Callithrix jacchus: one gene and its partners. The protein of the gene in region 3 interacts with the protein of the main gene of each other region in a pairwise test. Links are inferred from orthologs where the notes say so. Each region holds a gene or a part of one and is shown on either strand. Other genes may lie near its edges. The genes, in order: FASTK, HOMER3 and WIPF1.

Region 1 (5,661 bases), on a different chromosome or scaffold from region 3:
GAGTGAAGTGGACGGAGAATAGATACGCTTGGGGGTGAAGTTTGGTCGGGGTGACGTTTAGGGGAGGCATTGCTTAGAAGGTCGGGGCCCTTACCTTGAGATAGGGTTTAGGTGAGCTGGGAGCTGGTTGAAGACCTCGAGCTCAGATGACAGAAAGTTAGGACTTGGGATTCGGCGATGGGAAAGGGCACCCGGACGCAAGTTTGGGGCAACTGGGAGGCAGAGCAGCCGGTACCCTGGGGTGGGTGAGGGGACGGGCTGAGGACGGTGGGATCATAGCGGTGGAGTGGGGGCAGGATCCTGTGGAGGTTCTAGGGCCCCTAGCCCGGGGGGCTCGCGCCTCACGGGCTCTTTGTGCCTCTCCAGCTCGGTAGTGCGGCGGGCAAGGCAAGCGCCATGACCCTGATTGAAGGGGTGGGTGATGAGGTGACCGTCCTTTTCTCGGTGCTTGCCTGCCTTCTGGTGCTGGCCCTTGCCTGGGTCTCAACGCACACCGCTGAGGGCGGGGACCCACTGCCCCAGCTGTCAGGGACCCCATCGCCAGCCCAGCCCAGCGCAGCCATGGCAGCTACCGACAGCATGAGAGGGGAGGCCCCAGGGCCAGAGACTCCCAGCCTGAGACACAGAGGTCAAGCTGCACAGCCAGAGCCCAGCACTGGGGTCACAGCAACACCGACACAGCCAGCCCTGGACTCCCCGCAGGAGCCCCTCGTGCTACGGTTGAAATTCCTCAATGATTCAGAGCAGGTGGCCAGGGCCTGGCCCCACGACACCATTGGTTCCTTGAAAAGGTAAGCAGGGCAAGAGGCAGGAGCAATGCTAAAGACAGGGATGGGGGGACTAGTAGCAGAAGGCTCCCAGAGAGGTCTGAGACCCAGCCCTCGTTTATACTGGAGGCGATGAGCGCCCCACATCACAACTACACTTGTTTCCCTGGCAGATGGCCCCTCCCAAGCCAGGACCTGTGCGGTGCGGAGGGCAGGGGGAGGGTGGGAGTGCTGCTCCGGGACCAGGGACTAGGATTGCCTGAGGCCTGCTCTCTTACCCAGGTCCCTCTCTCCTCAGGACCCAGTTTCCCGGCCGGGAACAGCAGGTGCGACTCATCTACCAAGGGCAGCTGCTAGGCGACGACACCCAGACCCTGGGCAGCCTTCACCTCCCTCCCAACTGCGTTCTCCACTGCCACGTGTCCACGAGGGTCGGCCCCCCAAGTCCCCCCTGCCCTCCGGGGTCCGAGCCCGGCCCCTCCGGGCTGGAAATAGGCAGCCTGCTGCTGCCCCTGCTGCTCCTGCTGCTGCTGCTGCTCTGGTACTGCCAGATCCAGTACCGGCCGTTCTTTCCCCTGACCGCCACTCTGGGCCTGGCCGGCTTCACCCTGCTCCTCAGTCTCCTGGCCTTTGCCATGTACCGCCCGTAGTGCCTCCGCGGGCGCTTGGCGGCATCGCTGGCTCCTCTGGACCTTGCTCCCCGCGCCGTGGCGGGAGCTGCTGCCTGCCCAGGCCCGCCTCTCCGGCCTGCCTCTTCCCGCTGCCCTGGAGCCCAGCCCTGCACCGCAGAGGACTCCCGGGGCTGGCAGAGGCCCAGCCCTGCGCTCGCCGTGGCTCGGGGCCGCCTCCCGGGGCTGCTGGCCCTCAGCCAGCACTGGGAGTCGGCTCCTCGGGGTCAGGGACCTGCTGTCGCTGCCTAGGCCCCGGGCAGAGACGGGCCGCCCCCCGGGCCCGTCTTAACGTGCTGCCGGAGGACCCAGCCGCCTCCAGTCCCTGACAGCACCATGGGCTGAGTTGGGGACGCCAGGACCGTGGGAGGCTGGTGAAGGGGAGCGGGGAGGGGCAGAGGAGTTCCTCGGAACCCGTGCAGATTAAAGTAACTGTGAAGTTTTCACTCTTGCAGTGTGTCTGAGTGTGTGCGGAGTGGCGGGCGGGGAGCCCTCGCCGCTTGGGAGAGAAGGGTACAGACTGCTCCGGACGCTCTGGTCCACCGCTATCCCTTCTGGGTGTTCCGCCTGGGATTCGGCGCGGGCCTCCGTGGTCCCGCCCCCGGCGTCGCGCGCGCACTTCCCGGGGGCGGGCTCGCGGCTCCCTGGCTCGCAGTGCCTGCCGGGAGCCACGTCTCCGCTGGCCGAGCGCAGCTCCGGGATTGGTGTCCCGGCCGCGTTCCAGGGGCTGCTGGGAAGATGGCGGACTCGGCGGCCAGCCGATGAGGAGGCCGCGGGGGGAGCCTGGCCCCCGGGCCCCGAGACCGACTGAGGGAGCGACCTGCGCAGGGCCCGGGGAGTCATGTAGGGGTGGCGCCTGCGGGGCGGGCTGCGGGAGGGCTGCGGGAGCTGGTGTTAGCGGCAGCGGCCACGGTCTCCTGGCGTCCCTGGGCCTGGGTGGGTGTGGGGCCCCCGACTTCGACTCCGCGCCATCGCATAGCGGCGCACTCGGGCCCCGGGCGCTCCCTGCGAGGTGGGCGCTGCGTTTTCATTTCACGGGTGAGGAGACTTGGAGAGACGAAGCCACTTGTCCAAGGTCATGCCGCTGGTAAGTGGGAGCGCCCAGCATGGAACCCAGCACCGTCCAGCCGCGGACCCGGCGTTCCACTCTCTTTGCCGCCTCCTCCTACTGCGGGAGAGGGAGGTGGTCGGGAGAGCGCACGCCGGTGTCGCCTGGGCTCCAGACTGGGCGCGACCACTAACCGGGTTAATGACCCCGGGCTTAATCTTTTCGCCGCTCTGGGCCTGCGCTTCTCACCGGTGAAATGAGGTAATGCCAGCCCTGCCTACTCCACCTGGGCGTGTAAGGAGCATCAGAGATGGTGCATGTGGAATTGCTCCGCGCTGAGCGCACTGAGGATTATGATTGCCGTTTCAAAGGAGTGGAAAGAGGCAGAGGGGCGGGGCGGGGAAGAGGCCCAGAGCAGTCACAAAGGGTTGCTGGAACCCAGGTCCCCCGAATGAGGAGTGAGGTAAGCAGTAGGTAGCAGGTCTTTCTCCTCTTGGAGAAAACCTCACCCCCTTTTTTGGGCTGCCCCTCAGGGTCTCCATCACCCAACTCAATGCTTCGAGTCCTGCTCTCTGCTCAGACCTCCCCTACTCGGCTGTCTGGCTTGCTGGTGATCCCTCCAGTACAGCCCTGCTGTCTGGGGCCCAGCAAATGGGGAGACTGGCCTCCTGGAGGAGGCCCCAGTACAGGTCATGTGCAAGGGCTGCAGCGGCTTCTGGAACAGGCGAGGAGCCCTGGGGAGCTGCTGCGCTGGCTGGGCCAGAACCCCACTAAGGTGCGCGCCCACCACTATCCGGTCGCGCTTCGTCGTCTGGGCCAACTCTTGGGGTCTCGGCCACGGCCCCCTCCTGTGGAGCAGGCCACACTACAGGACTTGAGTCAGCTCATCATCCGAAACTGCCCCGCCTTTGACATGCACACCATCCACGTGTGTCTGCACCTTGCAGTCTTACTTGGTGAGGAGGGGCTTGAGGTGGGCGCCTGGGGGGCTGCTGGGTGTTAATGAAGAATAGGGAAAACAGGAGAGGACCATGGACAGAGACCCAGCCTGTCAGGCGTGTGCCGAGGAACGCTTGCTCTTGCTCCCGTTCCGTGTCTGCGGCAGACAAGAGTCGAACGCACTCATTCTAGCCTCGCTAGGGTGCCACCCCAGATTCTTGATAATAGAGTGCCCTAGGAAGCCACTATACTTTGTCACAATTGGCACAAGATGAAAGCCTATTTTGCCATTTTTGTATGTATTCCCCAAAGACTGTTCTGATCCCTCATAGTCACATGATAGCTTACATTTCTCCGTGTTTGCACTTAAACTCTAGCACACCTTCCCACTCAGGAGGTGGAGAGGAGAAACGTGGGGAATTCACCAAGTAACCCCATGATTAGAACAGCTGCACAGCTCTGTTACCAGGCTGCCTTTCACCTCTCCCCTCAGGCTTTCCAGCTGATGGTCCCCTGGTGCGTGCCCTGGAGCAGGAGCGAAGGCTCCGCCTCCCTCCGAAGCCACCTCCCCCTTTGTCGTCTCTTCTCCGAGGTGGGCAAAGGCTGGAAGCTGCTCTGAGCTGCCCCCGTTTTCTGCGGTATCCACGGCAGCATCTGATCAGCAGCCTGGCAGGTGCTGGAGGGGCTTAAAGGCAGATAGGGATGAGGAGGGCTGACAGGAGGCGGAAAGTGGGCTCAGTTAGCTAGGCTGAAGTGGAGTTGAGCCAGCTGGAGGTCCGGCCTGAGGCCCATTGTGACAGGCTGTTCTTCACAGAGACAAGACCAGAGGAATTGACGCCCCATGTGATGGTGCTCCTGGCCCAGCACCTGGCCCGGCACCGGTTACGGGAGCCCCAGCTTCTGGAAGCCATTGCCCGCTTCCTGGTGGTTCAGGAAAACCAGCTCAGCAGCAAGGTGGGCTTGCCTCCCACCTCCTGTGCATCTCTGAGTCATTCTCAGGGTCCTGGTCAGGCCCAGCGCACTGTCCAGCTTGGCTGTCCTCTTCCTGAAGCAGACACACCCTCTCCGTCTCCTGGGACCTGCATCTTTTTCCACACCTTCTCTGTGGCTTGCCCACCTCCCGCCAGCAGCATGTATTCCTGGAACTGTGCAGTTTCCCAAAGCACTCTTAGCACCATCCTAGCTCCACCCATCCCCCTCCTGGAAGTCTTCAGGGCCAGACGCCACAGTGATGTCGCCTCTGCCTGTTTGGTGGTTAGTCACATGCAGCTCATGACTGCTTTGCTGTTGAACTGTGAGGCTGGAGGAACTGTCCTGTCTTCACAGCAATGTTATAAACGTGGCTCAGCCTCCCTGAGGCTTAGCTTGTGAAAGATGACTGCAGAAACACTTCACACTGGGTAATGAACTGCTCTTCCTTCACAGGTGGTACAGAAGTTGGTCCTGCCCTTTGGGCGGCTGAACTACCTGCCTCTGGAACAGCAGTTTATGCCCTGCCTTGAGAGGATCCTGGCTCGGGAAGCAGGGGTGGCACCCCTGGCTACGGTCAACATCTTGATGTCACTGTGCCAACTGCGGTGCCTGCCCTTCAGAGCCCTGCACTTTGTTTTTTCCCCTGGCTTTATCAACTACATCAGTGGTACGCAGCCAGGATGGCTGGCTGGGGCCCCGAGGGCTGGAAAGGCAGGGGAGCAGGGTGGCCTGCAGCCCGGAGCCCCAGTCCCCGCCTCCCCACAGGCACCCCTCATGCTCTGATTGTGCGTCGCTACCTCTCCCTGCTGGACACGGCCGTGGAGCTGGAGCTCCCAGGATACCGGGGTCCTCGCCTTCCCCGAAGGCAGCAAGTGCCCATCTTTCCCCAGCCTCTCATCACCGACCGTGCCCGCTGCAAGTACAGGTGGATGGGACAGCCTGGGGCAAGGGGAGGGGCTGGCCTGAGAGCAGCACAGAGTAGAAAAGCTAGCAGGACCAGGAACTGCCAAAGCTTAGGTGCTCAGCCGCCATAAAGAAAACGGCCCTGAAGCAGCAGAGGGCTTTGCCCAGCAGGGTGGCAGCACTAGACTGGGTCAGACTAGGATGAGGCACTGGGCCCTTCCTGCTACTGGTGTCCTTTCTCCTCAGTCACAAGGACATAGTAGCTGAGGGGCTGCGCCAGCTGCTGGGGGAGGAGAAATACCGCCAGGACCTGACCGTGCCTCCAGGCTACTGCACAGGTGAGTGAGGGGCCAGCGGCAGGCCC
Region 2 (4,891 bases), on a different chromosome or scaffold from region 3:
AGACCACATTAGCTAAGCCCAAGGGGACAGGCAGAAGCACCAGAGCCAGGTTCCTGGCTGTGTGGCCTGGACACCCCACCCCGGACTTCAAGGCTTACCCTTCATCTGCAAGTGGCTTACAACTCCCACATGGATGCAGGGGCACCCAAGAGGAGGCAGGGAAAGGGGCCGGCGACATGTTAGGTGCCCAGGTACCCACATACCACACACACACAGCCACGCTTAGAAATGTAATCTGGGGATCTAGAAATTCTACACAATGAGAAGCTCAAAAACAGCCCCCATGCTGTCAACAGCCAGAGCCAGCTGGGGCCCACCCTACCCCGGCCCACCCGGGACCGAGTTGGGACCCCCCGGTCCCTTGCCAGGACAAATGGGTCCAACTACGCCGCCTGCGGCCTGAATCGTTCATAGAGAACCAGCCCTGGCTCAGGGTGCAGCCTCAGCCAGGCGGGCCAGGCCCTCACGAAGCTCACTCAGCTCGAACAGCCTGACGTCCAGCAGCTGCGCTGCCCGGCCCACCTCGGCCCGTGCCCGCTCCCGCTCCGCCCGCGCCTCCTCTAGGCTGCGCTCCATTGCCCGCAGCTGGTGCTCCAGCTCCGTGTTGCGGGTTTCCAGGTCCTGCCAGGAAAGGGTGGGCGGGGTGGGGGCCCCAACAAGTCACCGTGCCTGTCCGAGGTGTCCAGAGTCTGACGGCTTCATGTCCCTCTTTTACCCAAAGCCCTCCTAGGGCACCAATCACACTGGGAATAAAATCCAACCCCCCCAGGGATCTGGCTTCTGCCCTCATTTCTAAGAGACAGGGTTTTGTTCTGTTGCCCAAGCTGGAGTGCAGTGGCACAATCCTAGCTCACTGTAGCCTCCAACTCCTAGGTTCAAGCAGTCCTCCCACCCCAGCCTCCCAAGTAGCTAGGAATACAGGTGTAAGGGAAGCAGGTCCTGTAACATCTCAACTTGTTGGGCTCACAAGAAGTGCCCCCTGGGCTGGGCACAGTGACTCATGCCTATAATCCCAGCACTTTGGGAGGCAGACGCAGGTGGCTCCCCTGAGGCCGGGAGTTCAAGACCAGCCTGAACAACATGGTAAAACCCCATCACTACTAAAAATACAAATATTAGCTGTATGTGGTGGCAGGCACCTGTAGTCCCAGCTACTCAGGAGGCTGAGGCAGGAGAATCGCTTGAGCCCAGGAAGTGGAGGTTGCAGTGAGCTGAGATTGCGCCACTGTACTCTGGCCCCAGTAACACAGTGAGGCCCTGTCTCAAAATTAAAAAAAAAAAAAGGTATCCCCTGAACATTTCTCAGATAAAGCCTGTAGCAAAAGCCAAGCCAAGGCTGGGCGTGGCAGCTCACTCCTGTAATCCCAGCACTTTGGGAGGCTGAGGGTGGATTGCTCAAGGTCAGGAGTTTGAGACTAGCCTGGCCGATATGGTAAAACCCCATCTCTACTAAAAATACAAAAAATTAGCCAGGCATGGTAGCACACACCTGTAATCCCAGCTACTGAGGAGGCTGAGTTAGGAGAATCGCTTGAACCTGGGAGGTGGAGGTTGCAGTGAGCCAAGATTGCGCCACTGCACTCCAGCCTGGGCGACAGAGTGAGACTCCATCTCGAAGAAAAAACAAAAAAAGCCAAGCCACACCTGGTTCCAGTGCAGGCTCTGTGATTTCCGGCTGAGAACAGGAGGAAATGACAGGGTCTGGCGTGGGAATGCAGCCGGGACTCGAGATTGCCTGCTGAACCCACTGTTCACACAGCGCCTGCCGGCCATCAGGCCTGGCGCGGGCCTGGGACTCCCAATACTACTTTATCATCTTAGGTAGATCGTCCCAATTGTCTGTTGAGGTGATGGTCACCCACCTTCACCCCACCTCCTGGCGCCCACACACACCTGCACCTTCTGCTGAGTCTCCTCGCGCTCGGCAGCCTCTGGGGCTTCTCGGGGCCCCCCAGTCTGACTCTTCAGGGTCTGGATCTCCTAGAGGAAAAGAGTTCCCAGGGTCTGTTCTGGGGGTCCTGGCTTTCCCTCTGGAGGTGAGGGAGGACGAGGCCCGGGAACCATACTTGGCGCTCACCTGGTCCTTGGTTTGCACCAGAGCTTCCAGCTGCTCCAGTGACTGGCCCTGGCCCGGCCCCTCCTTCTCACTGGCTGGGGTCACCTCTGAAGCTGCCTGGGCCTCCAGCTCAGCCACCTGTGGGACAGGAATAGCAGCCCCTACCACCCCTGCCTGCACTCTCCCTTGCTCCCCCAACCTCTAGGGACTCTGCCTCCTGTCCAGCCACATCCAGGACCGAGCACCCAACTCCCTTGGTTGGTGGCACCTCCCCCACTCACGTAGCTTGGACTTTAGGGTCTGATCACCCTCTGAAGTTGGCATTGTCTCACACGCATTTTACAGAGCAAGGAACTGGGGCTGGGACAGTGACCTGCTGAGGTCACCCGGCCAGTCCATGCACCCAGGGCAGATGGGACTGGCAGAGGCGTGGGCTCCACAGTTGCCCGGGTCAGGTGGGGGGCTCTCTTTGGGAGGGGGTGCCCTTACCCGCTGCCGCAGCCGCTCAGCCTCTGCACGCTGAGCCTCCAGCTGCTGCCTCCACTGGGCTGCGGCTGCGTTGGCCTCCCGCAGGGCGCCTGCCAGCTTGTTGTTGCTGTCCTGCAGCGCGAAGAACTCGGCCTCCCACTGTACCTCGCCCACGGAGCTGCAGAAACGCAAGGGTCGGCAGGGGGTGACATGGGGCTAGAGCGGGGGCAGTCAGAGGGCAATGCTGGGGTTGGGATCGGGCCAGGGGTTGGGATCGGGGCCAGGGGTTGGGATGGCTCTGGGCTTGGGTGAGGACGAAGCTTGGAGAGGGTGTGAGGTTGAACTAGGGCGCAGGGCCAGGGTGGGGTGGCACTGACCTGGGGGTGGAGTCAGTGGCGATGCTCCACTAGGGGGCGGGGCCAGAGGTGGGTGGTGTGGGCTGGTGCGTGGCCAGGCGCGAGATTGGGCTGGGGGTGGTGTCAAGGACAATGCTGGGTAGGGGGCAGGGCCAAGGGTGGGGTGGCGTAGGGCCAGGGGATGGACTCAGGGCCACGGTGTGCTGGGGACGTGGCGACACTGGGCTGGGCTAGGAGCGCAGCCAAAATAGTGCGAAGCTTGGGGATGGGGCAGTCCCGAAGAGGCGGGGTCTTGTCAGGGACCTGGTCAAAGAAGTGGGCACATGGGGTCCGCCCAGTAACACTGTCGGGATGGCAGAGGAGGGTTGGGAGGTTGAGGAGAGTCAGCCAAGGGGGGCGTGGTCGGGGTGGGGAGGCGCCCCAGGTTTATCCTAAGCCCGAGAGGCATGGATGGGGCGAGGTTATCAGCCAGGAGACAGGGACCGGTTCAATACAGACCGGCCTGCCAAAGCCGTGGGCGGGGTCGGCTCTGGATGGAGCAGCAGCGGGATCAGCTCCTCCCCTTTCCCAGGTCTTGGGTCCACAGTTAGATCCCGCAGTCCCTGGCACTCCCTTGGCTTTCGAGAACCGCCTCCAAGTCCCGCATCCCCACCCCGTCCCCTGCCGCGCCCCAAGCCCCGCCCCTCACCCCTCGGACAGCATCTTCTTGAGTCGCTCGCGCTCTGTGGGGCCGGGGGCGTCAGCGCTCTGACTGCGGAACAGTTTCTCCTCACCCGGGCCGTTGGCACTGACGAGGGGACTCGGGGGCACCTGTGCACGGGGAAAAGAGCAGGTCACGATGAGTAGTAGCTTCTGTCAGTGGCTGGGATCAAGGCTGATGTGACCGGGGTCGTCACATCAGGGGGTCCAACTGACCTATGCACCCTAAGCAGGTCCTTCACAGCACCGGATCCGAATGTGTCCCTCCCCATCTCACCCACCCTCCATGGCTCCCTGTGGCCCCTAGGCTGAGAGTTCCAGGCCCATGCCCTCAGCCTTGCCTTCCTGGGGTTTCACCACCCCTAGGAGCAAGTCTGATGCAGGTTAGTCTAAACCAAGATACTTAGAACCTCCAAGGTAGGGGAGAGGGACAATCGGACAGCTCCATGCTGTTCCCTTCCCTGTTCTGTTCCCTGTGGCCCGTTTAGGATTTCAGCAGGAAGCCCTGCCCAGGCTGAATTTGTGTTTCATGAGCCACCCCAAAGCCTGGACCGCTGGCTCTGAGGGTAGAGTTCAGCCTGTTTTTCTAAATCTCTGCAACCCCTGTGCACAGCCCTGGGCCTGGTACACAGCAGGCGCTCAATAAATGATGCTGAATAAATTAATGTGGGAAAACACACAGGGCCAGTTCATTGCTGTGCCTCACACTTAGCCATTTCTTTCTGTCACACTGTGTCACCAGGCTGGAGTACAGTGGCATGATCTGGGCTGACTGCAACCTCCACTTCCTGGGTTCAAGCAATTCTCCTGCCTCAGCCTCCCAAGTAGCTGGGATTACAGGTGCACGCCGACACGCCTGGCTAATTTTTGTATTTGTTAGTAGAGATGGGGTTTCACCATGTTGGCCAGGCTGGTCTCAAACTCCTGGACTCAAGCGATCCTCCCACCTTGGCCTCCAAAATTGCTGGGATTATAGGCATAAGCCACTGCGCCTGGCCACACTTAGCTATTTCAATTTCTAGTCTTCCATTCTGCCATCTGAGCTGGTTTTGCTACTGGGACCTACTGGGTGCCCCCTGCCGACCCCAGGCAAGGCCCAGACCCTCCATGACATGCTCCACACCCCTCCTCCATGGCCCCTGCCATGGGTCTAACTTTAGGTCATCTGGGAGCATTGGGTCTTGAGGACTAGCACAGTGCCTGGTCTCCTAATATCAAGGTCCCCCCAATCCTGGGCCTGGTTGACTCACAGGTGCCCAGGAAGCATAGGGGGGCAGGGAGTGCTGACCTGGTGGGAGGCGAGCCCCAGGGC
Region 3 (5,661 bases):
CTAAGGATTAGCACACTAGTTAAGGTGTGTTACGCAGAATAGCATCACTCAACTAACTCAATTCTTATCGGATTCAACATACAAAGGAAGAGAAGCTTTGGTACACCTAGAGTTTTCATTACTCAAAACTAGACAAGGGACAGACTTAAGTTATTTTGACTTGATCTACATACCTATAACACCTACAGAGTGAGGAACAACGGACAAATGTCTGCCCTAGCAAACAAAAGTTAGGGCTGAGTGAGGACGTATTCATCTGTCACAGGGAGGTGAAACCTAAACTGTTCCTCAATTGAGGCAGAGATGGTGGGACATGATGTGAATGTGCTTATTAATCTTTTGATGCCTGGCATACAGTAAACACTTAATAAATATTTGTTAAGTGGAGAAATGAATGAAGGGCTGCCTCCATCCAGTTGGACGCCTCTGAATTCCCTGTATTTGGTCTGTACCTTTTTCACCTTATTTACCAAATTCTGCCTGCATTCCTGCTGTTTGAAACTGTGTGTCATTTCTACCAGAAAGTTAGCACTCAGGTGCAGACTTCATCTCTTTCTGAGCTACGTCTTCCTTTCTACCCACCTACCTAGCACAGAGTATAGCTAGAACCTCTAGCAGGGACCTGAGATGCTCAATGAGTATCTGGCTTGATTCCAACTGTGACCTGATTCTATGTGGGTCCCTGCTAGCCACAAGGCATAAATAAGCCTACCAAGCCTACAAGAACCATGGTATAATTGTGGATTGCTGGGAAACAGCAGCAGAGAGACCTCTGTGCAGAAACCATTAAGAATTCAGTAGACTGCATTGGAGGGAAGGCTTCAGGAAGACCACAGCCCTGGGAGTTAAATGCCAAATGTCAGATGCTTGAAAGCGAAGGGGTTATAGCAAAAAATAAAAGGCACTTTTGTTTCATTTATTCTCTCAGTATGTGTTGTGGAAACCACCTATGTTCCTAAAATTACAACCATAGTTAGAAACACCTTGAAATAGGAAAGATAATGACACAGACCCAGTAATGAATACTGTCTGCTAAAAGGGGTTCATGTCTGGCCATAGCACCTGAGACAGTAAATGTACAAGGTCAGGGCATACTACCCTCTCTTCACCACCCACCCTTCTGCCCATTATAGTTTTTGTGTCTTGGTGCTATGCTACACACTGCATGGTATTTGGATAGTATCTGTATCACGCTGCTTTTGCTGCTTCCTTCACACCCCTTTATCCTACATGATCCTCATACCCTGTAGTGGACGAAGAGCAAAGATTATCAACCCCATTTCTTGGATGAGGTAAATGAGGCTCAAATTGCATGATATGACTAAGGGCACCAGAAAGTTGGTGAATATATTAAAGACAATTTGTAAAATGAACATATCCCCCCAGCTGGCATGAATTTCCCCAGCTGGAAATAATCTCATTCTCTTTAAATATCCCGGAATTTGATCTTACCTTGCTTACAAATCTCTTTGCACTACATCACACAACCTAAAAGAGTGATGTTTTCATGGAGCCAAAGATATGACAGGGGTTGGTAGGTCCCAGGAAGGAAGATAATATTACTGAACTAGTTTCATAACATCTACAGAGTTTAGTCTGAACATTTCTATTCAACAGGTAATAGGCTCTCACAGGTGGCTGGGGGTTTAGACTATAGCACCTCCAGGTCTTGGAGAAACGCAGCCTTGTGGGGCTGACAGGGTCAGGTAGACACACACAGTCACAGTAGAAGGCAGTGTTGTGTGCACTGGAAAGGGATTAAGAGGCAGAGTGCTGACAGCCTATCAAGGGGTTTCTCATCTCAAGAAGTTATTACAAAAAGGTGATTTACAAACTAAAGTAGAACATTTCTTGGTGTTATTTTATCCATTACAAAAATAAGCAGTTTTGATAACGAAAAAACCTACCAACGACTCAAAATGAAGCTACAGTATTGTTTTGCAATTGCTTTGGGAAGCTGGCAAAAGAAAACCCACCCAACGTGGAATATGTTCACGGGCTCTGCGGCTGCACCCTCCTCGAGTCTGAGGCTACATGCAGCCAGGGATGGGGGAATGGGAGTGAGGAGCGGTCCAGAGGGGGTAGAACGGACACACGCTTTTCAGTGAAAGGGACCAAGTCCACTTGGTCACTGAGCCAACTTGAAAGGCTTCCCAGAGAACTCAGTAAGGCCAGGAGCCCGTGGCTGAAGAAGGAATATTCCAATTTAAGCAGGACCAGAAGACCTCGCCAGGATGAGTTCCTCACACAGCCACACCCTTTGTTAATCGCAAAGACCTCAAAGTCCAACCACCAGTGATCTGACTTGGAGCTTTTAGCGATTAACAAAAGCTCACAGCGACTGGGTCAGCTGCTTTCCCTTACATTCGCAACGTTAACAGTTCTTTCTTTAAAAAGAAAAGTGTGTGTAGTGGAAAAAGGTAGGGGACGCGAGACTGCAGTGAAGCTGTCTGGAGAGTTCGGGGGAGCACCCCCCTCAACCATCCCCACTCGTGGTGAAAAGTCGTGACGGGGACTGGCCGTGCCTCTGAGGCCGACGCAGACCCCTAACGCGCCAGTCTACACGGACCTGGAGCAAGCGGGCGGCCCGGGAGCGCCGGGAGGGAGGCGGGCTGGAGCGCGGGAGGGGCACGGTTCCCACAGCCAGGCAGGCGGGCGGTGCCAGAGCTTGAGTCGGCCCCAGGGGATGCCCGAACGTCCCCCTCCGTCCTAGGTGGGGTGTAGGTGCGGCCCCAGGACATCGCCGCGAAGCCCCTACTCGGGAACTACGGAGATAGTGGGTCTCGAGCCCCAACGGGCGGCCCTGGGTCCGCGGAGCCCAGCGGTGCGCCCAGCCCAAGGCGCGGGACCCCGGCAGTCCACCGCCCCTTCCTCCCGGGGCCATCGGCCAGAGCAGAACGCGCGGACCACGGGCCCGGAATCGCGCCCACCGCTCTCAGGGGACGCGGCCTCGACGTCCCCGGCCGCCCCGCCCGCATCACCGTTCCAAGCGGCGCTTCTGAGCCCCGCCATCGAGCCCAGCCCCACCCGGTGTCCCCCCCCCGGGACCCCGGAACCCCGGTCGCGCCAGACGCGACGCGTCCCTTACCGCACAGCGGCTCCGGACGACTCCACTGCCCCGCGCCGCGCGGGGCATTTTTTCTGGGAAACTTCTCCCGGGGTCCGCAGGGCTGAGCCGGGCGGGCAGGAAAAGCTCTCAGCGCCGGGAGGCTGCGACCATCCGGGAACTTCGCCGAGATGTGGGCCCTCCCCCTCGGCGCCCCGGCCCCCCCCCGCCGCCCCGCCACATGTGGACGCGCCGCGAGGCCCCGCCGGCTCGCGCCCTGCCCTCCGCCCGCCCGCCCGCCCGCCCCGCAGGCAATGGGGCTCCGCGCCCGCAGCCTCGGCCGGCAGAGGAGCGCGGCGGGGCGTGATTGTCGGGGCTGGAGTCAGTGGTTTCCCCCGTCCCGCTCCCCTGCGGGGCGAGGGGGCCGAGGCCAGGGCGCCTGGGACAGGAGTTTGCAGAGGAGAGGGAACTGGAAGGGGAGTAGCTCAGGGCCTTTCCCCTCAACCCTTGAATCCTCTCTACCTCCTCGTGGCTGCTGGCGTCAGTCTCCCCCAGCCGGAGGGAACACCTTTTCCCACGCTTTCCCCTCTGCTCTCAAAAACAGCGGGTCCAACTTTCAGATGTCTGAAAATCAAATTCATTTTTAAAGATGGATTTAAAATCTGAGTGAACCCCACGGAGACCCAAGGTCCGTATGCATCTGACTCCTGCCTACTGTGTAGGGACAACGTGCTACTCTTCCCTCGAAAAGATGCCGCTTCACCCCACCAGTCGGTCGGAATTGAGTCGTTTTGCCGCCAGTGGGGATGGATTTATCCTCAGCCACCCACATCCTTAAATACGGTAGGATCCACAGCAAACGTGGAGAAACGTGAAGCTCTACTCCATTGCCAGAGCTAACTCCTGCTCATAAGGAGGCTCTGTCCAGTTCAGAGAGCTGCCACCTCCAGGCCCCAAACAAAAGTTAACACTCACTAAGACGATGCGGCCGCTGGGAGAGTGCATTTGAAAGTTCTCGTCAGTATAGTAACAATCGGATCATATTGTTAAAATATCAAGGCTGTGTATCGGTTTGAATAAAAGCAGGAGGGTGGGACTATAAAACCACCTTTGCAAAATTATAACTGAGGAAATTGTGACAGTGAAAGAAATCAGACCTACAACCTACTCTATCTTGCTTCTAACCTTTAAAGTGTACTTGTTCACTCCTGGGTGTAGCCATTGAGAAATAATTCAGTTTATGTTTTAACTGAAACAAAATTGGTAATATCCCTTTCCCAGAAAGATTCCCTTCTTACCTGGGGACCAGTCTGCCTCACAGGACTAACAAATTAGCTATACGATTAGAAATTACAGTTTAGGGTTCATGCAGCCTCTCTCCCGCTCTGAAAGTCTGAACCTCCCCAAATTACTGCTGGGGATAACAATACTGTTGTAAAACCTAAGATCAGTGGTTGAGATATTTTACAGACCCTGAACTCAGTTACCAGATACCACCCAGATAGGTAATCTGGCTTAACCAGTTCTGCCATCCCACCTAGGAACAGAAAAGAGCAAGAAAAACTCACTTTGATCCCCCACCATGAGTCCATCTCCAATCTGACCAATCAGCACTCCCTACTTCCCAAGCCCCTACCTGCCAAATTATCTTTAAAAACTCATCCCAGAATGCCCAGAGAGACTGATCTTAGTAATAATGAAACTCTGGTCTCCCGCACAGCTGGCTCTGCATGAATTCGTTTTTATCCATTGCAATTTCACCGTCTTGATAAATGGGCTCTGTCTAGGCAGCGGGCAAGTTGAACCCATTGGGCAGTTACAAATAGATGCACTTTAAAATTGTTACACTATGCTGAGGGGGCTTCACGGGATCCCGGCTTTCTCTGCTCCTGTACCACTCCCATGTGCACACGTATCTCTCGACATGTTTTTAACAGATACAATGATGCTTCTGGGAAAGACATTTAGTAACATGGGAAACTTCCCATTGGCAAATTTTTGTCTAAATGTACCCATCTTTTTAAGGTACATTAACCATTTGCCTTTCTTTTTAAACCATTTCTATGGTAATACACATATGTTATATTTTATATAAAATGAAGACAAGCAGTTTAATATATAAATATATTACACCAGACTTGAAAACAGATCAGTAGCCCTAACCACAGTGTAGCAAGGAAATTAAGCCCAGGAGCTGCCTGGTCCCCTTACTAGTTCTCTAAGCCTCATTTTTTTGCTCCAATAAAATAGGGATAATAATATTTCCCAGCTCCTGGGATTGTTGTAGGGATTAAATGGGATAATCTCCCTAAAGATGAGCAGAGTGTTGGCACACAAGTGAATAGGAATCTTATCTTTGATTCCCCAGTGTTCAGCAGAGCTCAGTACCTTGTAGGGAAGTGATTAAATGCTTGTTGAGATAAGAACTCTCTTGAGTTCATGTGTCTCAGGAATCTGTAGAAATTTCAGCATTGAAATACACTAAAGAAAATTAGGAAGATAAAATTTTTCACACTTCATGTCATCGTTGAAAGCCAAAAATAATTGTGTTCTGAATTGTCCACTGTTTTAAATCACTCGCAAGGCCAGTAATCAGTTGTCCAAAATGGCCTTAG

What was found.
Region 1: the proteins of WIPF1 (region 3) and FASTK interact in binary tests that used the Homo sapiens proteins (3 or more experiments, as listed by UniProt). The two-hybrid records come from large-scale screens. The link is inferred for Callithrix jacchus from reciprocal best matches to the Homo sapiens genes WIPF1 and FASTK.
Region 2: the proteins of WIPF1 (region 3) and HOMER3 interact in binary tests that used the Homo sapiens proteins (3 or more experiments, as listed by UniProt). The two-hybrid records come from large-scale screens. The link is inferred for Callithrix jacchus from reciprocal best matches to the Homo sapiens genes WIPF1 and HOMER3.

The regions. Positions count from the first base shown.
Region 1 is NC_133512.1:97,130,847-97,136,507, forward strand, and holds the start of FASTK (fas-activated serine/threonine kinase), read left to right. Parts: upstream 1-2,157; 5' UTR 2,158-2,196; coding exon 2,197-2,278; intron 2,279-3,016; coding exon 3,017-3,439; intron 3,440-3,915; coding exon 3,916-4,095; intron 4,096-4,236; coding exon 4,237-4,376; intron 4,377-4,847; coding exon 4,848-5,061; intron 5,062-5,159; coding exon 5,160-5,319; intron 5,320-5,543; coding exon 5,544-5,635; intron 5,636-5,661. Other genes in the region: TMUB1 (transmembrane and ubiquitin-like domain-containing protein 1), read left to right, coding at 397-791, 1,066-1,417. UniProt on the Homo sapiens protein: Phosphorylates the splicing regulator TIA1, thereby promoting the inclusion of FAS exon 6, which leads to an mRNA encoding a pro-apoptotic form of the receptor.
Region 2 is NC_133523.1:17,622,725-17,627,615, forward strand, and holds the end of HOMER3 (homer protein homolog 3), read right to left. Parts: coding exon 4,868-4,891; intron 3,691-4,867; coding exon 3,569-3,690; intron 2,703-3,568; coding exon 2,546-2,702; intron 2,195-2,545; coding exon 2,078-2,194; intron 1,981-2,077; coding exon 1,894-1,980; intron 622-1,893; coding exon 430-621; 3' UTR 218-429; downstream 1-217. UniProt on the Homo sapiens protein: Postsynaptic density scaffolding protein. Binds and cross-links cytoplasmic regions of GRM1, GRM5, ITPR1, DNM3, RYR1, RYR2, SHANK1 and SHANK3.
Region 3 is NC_133507.1:54,781,025-54,786,685, reverse strand, and holds the start of WIPF1 (WAS/WASL-interacting protein family member 1), read right to left. Parts: upstream 3,232-5,661; 5' UTR 3,089-3,231; intron 1-3,088. UniProt on the Homo sapiens protein: Plays a role in the reorganization of the actin cytoskeleton. Contributes with NCK1 and GRB2 in the recruitment and activation of WASL.